Linked DNA regions of Coturnix japonica. The protein of the gene in region 1 interacts with the protein of each later gene in a pairwise test. Links are inferred from orthologs where the notes say so. Each region holds a gene or a part of one and is shown in the gene's direction. Other genes may lie near its edges. The genes, in order: EXOC2 and RALB.

Region 1 (4,377 bases):
CATTGTTCCTCAGGCAGATGCCGTGTGACTATTTAACTAAAGCTAGAGGGAAGAGTCAGTAAGGAGCTGTATATTCATCCACTGAGATATTACAGCCTATAATATACCTTGTGCAGCTCTCACCTCCAGGGGAAAAAAAAAAAAACCAAAACATGTGGGAAATGACATTTCCTTGCCATGATGTTTTTTATAGCGCTTACGTTCTTTGAGGTTTTATGAAAGATATTTCCAACTAATGTCTCAATCTAGGCCTGGACTGGCAAAACTGAGAAACTGATTCTCCTTTCTGTTTTCTCCCTCATTGCTTTTTATCTGCTTTCCATTCTGATTTCATTTGCACTTGGCTTTCGCAACCAACCTCCAAACAATTCCAGCAGAAAGGGAAAAAGGATGTCTCCTTTCCAAAAGGAAGAAGAGCCTCTGTTCAGAGGTGCCTCATGCAGACAGATGGTCTGATAAGAAATCACCCCATGTTTTCAGTGGGAAACCAGCACGAATTTGCACGACCAAGCTTTGCCCATGCTGCCTGCCTACCGCCAGCTCTTGTAACAGCTGCGTCCTGTTTCTGTGCAGCCCTGCAGCGGTGCCGGAAAGACACTACCCAGGGGGTCGGGCTGCTGGGGAACAACCTGAAATAAAAGCTGAGCCAAGAAATGGAATTGCACAGCTTTGCTTTGCTCCATTTCTGAAGAAAAGTTAGTCTCCTTTTTGTACAGATGACGTGAAAAACATTGCAATCGTCCTCCACCCAACAGTGAGCCTGATGGGTGAGAATACCCATTGGTGTTGCCCATGTGGCATTGCAGGCATTTTAGGGAATGAGCAGCTCTAACCCCAAGCATACTCAGGGCCAGCACACCTGCATCTGAGGGGCAGCAGGAGAACCAACACTTGAAATTTCAACACCAAACCCTCCATGCCACAGATACAGGAGAGGTGTGACGATCATTTAGAGGCCCCACAACCAGGCCTGTAGGACACAAGCAATGCTTCTGGGAGACAGGAGATGGTAGGAACCTGTCCTTCCGACTCAAGGGCACAGTGCCTTCCTCTTGCACCACCACGCACCCCCGCACCATCCTGTGCTGCATCACAAGAGCGTGGAGTTTATTATTATTTATTACGATTGCCGTTGCTGCTGCTACCAATATTACTTCAGTAGAAGAGCTTCGTACTGCCCCACTTCCGAGCTTCTACGAGCAGACGCTCCCAACCCGAGGGAGGCCGCCTACTCCGCCTCTTGCGCCTTCATTAGGCGGGGCCCGCAGCTCGGCCGCCCCTTCTCGATGTCTCCACACTCCATCGATGTCTTCGGGCGGCGGCTGCCGGTGCCTGCTCCCGCCGGACGCGGAGGCGCTGCCGGGAGCGGCGCTGCCCCAGGTGCCGGATACGAGCGCGGCGGCGGCGGCGGCCGGTGAGTGACAGCGAGCGGCCTCCCGCCCCTCCCTTCCTCCGCCGGGCGCTGCGGAGCCGGCTCCCAGCGGGGCAGCCCCGGTCCTCCCCCATTGCGCTGGGGCGGAGACCGTCCCCATCCCGGGGGGGAGACCGAGGCGCTCTCCCGCCCCGCCCCTAGTCCGGGAGGGATTCGGGGCGGCTGTTTGCGGGCCGTGGGGCTCCGTGCTGTGCTGGGGGGCAGGTAGTGCCATATGGGACCGGCCTTGCTGGTTACCGTGAGGTGGTTCCGCGTGTGCTGAGGGCTGTGCAGGAAGTAGGCCGGGAGAGGCACGGGCGCTTAAAACTTCGCTTACTGTGTCCAGGTGTGGAGCCCTCAGTACAAGAAAGTCATAGAGATTTTGGAAAGGGTCCAGAGGAGGGTCACGAAGATGACCAGGGGGCTGGAGCACCTCCCTATGAGGACAGGCTGAGGGAGTTGGGTTTGTTCAGCCTGGAGAAGAGAAGGTTGCGGGGTGACCTCATTGCAGCCTTTCAATACCTGAAGGGAACTTACTCCCAGGAGGGGAGTAAACTCTTCGAAAGGGCTGACAATAGCAGGACACGGGGAAATGGTTTTAAGTTAAAAGAGGGAAGATTTAGGTTGGATGTTAGGGGGAAGTTGTTCACTAGGAGAGTGGTTAGGCCCTGGAACAGGCTGCCCAGGGAGGTTGTGGATGCCCCGTCCTTGGAGGTGTTCAAGGCCAGGTTGGACGGGGCCCTGGGCAACCCGATGTAGTAAATGTGTATGTTTGGTGGCCCTGCTAGGCAGGGGGGTTGGAACTACATGATCCTTGAGGTCCCTTCCAACCCGGGTCATTCTGTGATTCTGTGTGATTAAAATGAACTGCAACGCGGTTTCTCATTGAGGGGAACAGCCTGGACGTGGGGATGGTTGCATTTCCAATAGGGACCCTGACATTCTGTCCCGGCTTTCAAAATAGCGCTTCTTCCAAGCTGTTGCCTTTTCTCCCTCTTTTATATATTTCTTTGGCGTTTCCTACCACCTGTGTCTTGTTTGCTCCTTAGATGAACAGCTTCTAACACAAACACTCAAACGCTTTGAATTCACATCCAGCGAAGCAATAAGCCCTCCTAGTCTGGCAGAACATCAGGTCAAGTCTAAGCTGTTAACGCCCATTCAAAGAATAATAGACGGTCTGGGTTGAAAAGGACCATAATGTTCATCTAGTTTCAAACCCTCTGATACGTGATGTAGTTTAAAATTCTAATCTCACATTGTTTTTCCTCGTTTTCTGATTGCAAACGCTTCCCCCCCTCCTTAAGACCTGTATGTATTTCACTGCACCGGGGTTTTCTTTTTCCTTTTGATGGAGTGTTCAAACCATTAGAAATCACTAGAAATTCAGTTAGAATCACTGAATGGCTTCCTTTGGAAGGGACCTTAATGATCATCCAGTTCCAGCCCTCTCCCGTGGGCAGGGCTGACACCCAATAGTTTCTGAGGTTTGTTTTTTTTTTGGCTGTCGTTTTTTAATTATAAACTGCAAGTGAAACTTGTCACCTTTACATCCAACCTGCTTTGCTTGCTTTATTTTTACTCCCCTGAAGAAAAGCTTTGTAATTCTTAGCTCCCTATCGCCGTAGTGTCTGTCACAGCTTGCACTGACCCAGCAAGGAGCAGCCGAAAGCTGCTGCTTTCTTTCCCATGGATCGCTTAGTTTACAGGGTTTGTGATTTATGCCCACCCTTGGACAACAGTGTTTTTACTTAACCGGGGGTTCTGTTGTTTTAAACAGGATGCAATGATTTTCGTTATACTAGTGTGATTTATTTCACAGAAAATGGCATTAATTTAACTTCTGGTGGCAAGTCGGGTTGTTGGTTTTTTTTTTCCCTGTATGGAAAATTTAATTTTTCTTAGTGTTTATCAGAGGTGAAGCAGTTGGATGTTTTTGGACCTGTGATATTCAGGTCTTAGTGTTTTGAGTTGTAGGATTCCTCATGCTGAGAATATTTGAGGTAAAAAAAACCACACACATATTAAAGATGTTAAAATGTGATTCACCAGTAGTTTCCCAAGGTCCCATGAAATAGCATCCACTGATACGGTCTGTTCATGATGCTACTCCTCAAAGTGAAACTGCACTGAAGCACATTAAGTGGTAGACAAGAAACAGAGGCCACTGACCTCTTTTAGCGATGAAAGCTTGAGATATGTTATGTTAAACCCTACTTAATCAATTTCTGTCAGTTTGATATGGCTGGCTGTAAATCCAGAAAGTCTTGAGCATTGTACTTGAAACTAATCATCAGTTGTGTGTTACTTTTGATTCTCTTCATCTGGGCTTTTCTGCTTTCCCTTTGAATCCATTTAAGGGAGGCGAAAAGAGCAAGACCTGAATAGCATGATCACAGAAGTGTGTATTTAAAAGTTATTTTTGAACATACAGGCTCTGACAGCCACCGAATGAAAGAATACATGAATTAAACTATGCTTTTATTCTCCAGAACGAGGCAAGCCCGTGAAGCACAAGTGGATATTTATTACCTGTCTGTGCATTAGTTTAATTATGCAAAAAAGGCGCATGAATGTTTTGCATGGAAGAAATCAGTAGTACTTCAGTTCAGAATGAAGAACTGGTAAATAATGCTCAAAAGATTGCATGTATTACTCTGAATTTATCTTCCGCGGGGGCTTTTTAGTATGAGTGGCATCTGGTGCTGTACTTATAAGCAAGCTGAAGGGCTGGAATCAGAAAATAGGTGAATGAATGGATATCTTTAGCGGAAGTCAGACACTGCTCTTCAGCTTAACCTTTTGTCTTAGACCACCTACCTTCTGTAAATCTGTATTGGGCAGTGTTGTCTTTCAGTTTGCTTTCCCCAAGAGAGGGGAGAGGTGCTTGGTAATGGGGAAATCCTGTTTGTAAAGGTGCTTGTAGGATATGGGGTTAGTAGGTAGAAAGGAGGAGGGAGGGAGAA
Region 2 (3,065 bases), on another chromosome or scaffold:
TGTAACCACTTAGGAAGGACTGAACTAAATACTGGATGCTTGAGTTAGCAAGTATTTCCCAGCAAATAACTTATTAAGCACAGAGCAATATTATCTTGAGCTCTGAATGCTACTTTTGTGCAAGAGCAATATTCAACAAAAAGCTCTTGAAACAGAGCTGCTGAGTGACTTAAGTTACGATAGAGTCATGGAACAGTCTTGCTTCTTGCTACTGCTTCAGGTACCATAATTCTAATGTTGAATTTATAGCTGGGATGTGTCCAGATTTGATTCTGCTGCTAGGTACCTTGTTGTACTGTGTCACTTATGTGCCTAATAAAGTAGCCTGGATCTGTTTTTAGGTGGCAGAACTTGTTTAATCTTTTTTTTTTTCCCCTCTAGGTATTCTTTGATTTAATGAGAGAAATCAGAGCAAAGAAAATGTCTGAAAACAAAGACAAGAATGGCAAGAAAAGTGGAAAGAACAAGAAAAGCTTTAAAGAAAGATGTTGCTTACTGTGATGCTTGGGAACTGTGTATATCTATCTACAAATGGCATGGATAAGATACCACTAAGGATATAGGGCTGGATTCATGAAAGGAAGTCTGTATTGACTCCCTTATCTCTTGCTTTGCATATCATACCTTGAAAATGTGAAAACAACTTTGAAACCATTTCTGGTATCCAACAAAACCTATGCCTACTTAAACTGAATTGTCTCTGTCTTCCCAGTGTCTTTCAAAACTAGAAACTATTGAGGTTTTAGAACTACAATCACTCTATTTGGTTATACGAAGTTCTTTCATATTAACTTCCTGGTTTAATGTCTCAGAATATGTTTCTTGAACCTCTACTGGCCTTAACAAGCACAGCTGTTCAGGTTCAAACAGTTCTTTCACTGGTGCCCTTCTTAATGTTGTAAACTGCAGACAAGCTGGATGACAACCTGTCAGTTTGTCTCTGTTTTCTGCTAGTGGTTACTGAGTTGTTACGCTGAAATTTGCTGGTTTCCTTCCTACCCTCCACTTAAATAGCAACTGACACTTGAGTCAACCCAAAACAAACTTTCTTCCCTGTTCTGTTTAGTCAATATGGCATTCATGAATCAAGCCTATGGACTCAATTTGGACTTAATTAGGAAATACAATATTGGCTTTCCCTGATGTTCTGTCTTCTCATCCTTAAATTAGAGTTAGGGGGTGAGAAAATGACTAAGCTTTTCATCAGAAGGAATAGTGTTGCCACGGTCTCCTAGAAGTGCAATCCTGGATTTCTTCCATGTATTGTGGCTATTACACTCATTCTGCATTGGTCATTCATCGCCTTCCTGGTACTGGAACAGTGAAAAATCAGTGTTCATCAGTTTTGTTTATATTGGAAAATGTGTGATATGTTGGGAAAGTGGGATCATCTGTTTCCTGCTGGAATTGAAAGCTGAGTAAGGGTGGCTCACATCACAATCATGACTTGGACTAGGTGAGGCGTACACGCTACCTCTCTGATTAATTGGCTAGTGAGTCGTGTGGTTGCAAAAAGTGAATGAAGTGAAACAGTTGCCATGTCTGTTACTCACTGTTAATTTTATATGTACTGTTTCTGACGCATAGCAACCTAGCACATGGAGATGCACGTTGGTTTTGCTGTCAGTTATGCAATGGTGGTCATGTTTTAATCAGCAAAAGCCCGCTTAGAAATGGAAGAGAAGTCAGTACTTAGCAGGTCTTGTCAGCTGACTGAACTGTGATTTCTGATGCAGTTTAAACTAAGTGCAGTTGCCAAAAAATACTTCTGTTGCTGTTGTAGAATGTAACCGTCTCTTCTGTTTGTGGAGTCTCTCAATGAATTATGGATATTTTCTATTTCAAAGGAGTAGACAGACTTGAAGTAGTGACTGTACCTTGCTTTTTAACCAGATGCTTAAAGCACTGTTGGTGGAAAGGTGATGCTGTGTGGTTGTTCAATGAAGCTCACTGCAGCACTAAATTAACAAATACTGTTTCTTGAGGTGAAGGAGTAGCAAATACTGTTCAGTACTTAGTATTGTAATTTGAGGATGAAAAACATTTTTAACATGTACTAGATTGCTGTTGTGCATTCCACCTCCGAACTTTGGGGAGAAAAAGATGTTAGATATCGGAACCTCTGTTGGTCTGAGGTTTTTACAGGGATTTATCACACTCATTGTCTTCCGTAACTAGTTTAACTTGTCAGGCAACTCATTGGACTGGGGAAACTGTACTAAATAAAAGGTGCTGTAATCTTCCTTCATGTGAAGTTTAATTCATTTTCTGTTAATGTTCTGTGCACAGGAAGAATGCTTCATGAAGTTTGGAAATTATTCTTTGAATAATATAATTGGTATAACAAAGCGAACTGAATATAGTTCTTGAGGCAGAGGCTGGGAGCTTGATGGCTTACAGAATTGTATGAGCTGTACCACCTGTGTCCAAAGCCTAAACACCCAGTGGGACACACAAAGCTGTCTAAAGCTTCTAAAAAGACTTCCTCTTGAACTTAAATTGACTCTATTTTTGTGTGCATGCTGTATCTACAGCATGTGAATGTCCACTTCTAGAGGCAGACCACTTGCTTAGGTTTGGCTTTAGTTGAGACCTAAAGGTTAAGTCCTTAATTAACCTAAAGGATAAACAATGGCTGAGTTCACATTACAAGCTTACCTAGGTCAAGCCCCTCTCAGGCGGATTGTAGAATGTGGCTAACAAAACTGAATAAGCTTTCCTTGCTATATGAATAATGAACTCAACAAAGCTTACAATGAATACCTCAGCTGTTAGCTCATTGACTTCCATGTGTTGTCCTTTGACCTCTCTAATTATAACATACCTGATAATATTTGGTAGAACAGATGAACTGTTCAGAACAGCCGGTCTCCCACCGGTGCTTTTACTTGGTGTGCTGGTTTCATTCAGATAGCTTTTTCCCAACAGATAAAGCTCTAGCACTGGGGTGGACTTGCTTGGAAGAAGCTGCTTGGTTCTGCATTTCTTCAGTGCTCTGTTCTTGTCACCCTTACCAGAAATGTTATGCCTAGAGGCTAAATTCAGCAGTTCTTCAGTATCCTTTT

What was found.
Region 2: the proteins of EXOC2 (region 1) and RALB interact in a two-hybrid assay, tested with the Homo sapiens proteins (2 studies listed by BioGRID). The link is inferred for Coturnix japonica from reciprocal best matches to the Homo sapiens genes EXOC2 and RALB.

Annotation. Positions count from the first base shown.
Region 1 is NC_029517.1:61,951,776-61,956,152, forward strand, and holds the start of EXOC2 (exocyst complex component 2), read left to right. Parts: upstream 1-1,293; 5' UTR 1,294-1,414; intron 1,415-1,615; exon of another isoform or gene 1,616-1,636; intron 1,637-1,667; exon of another isoform or gene 1,668-1,757; intron 1,758-4,377. UniProt on the Homo sapiens protein: Component of the exocyst complex involved in the docking of exocytic vesicles with fusion sites on the plasma membrane.
Region 2 is NC_029522.1:21,379,447-21,382,511, reverse strand, and holds the end of RALB (ras-related protein Ral-B), read left to right. Parts: intron 1-381; coding exon 382-501; 3' UTR 502-2,248; downstream 2,249-3,065. UniProt on the Homo sapiens protein: Multifunctional GTPase involved in a variety of cellular processes including gene expression, cell migration, cell proliferation, oncogenic transformation and membrane trafficking.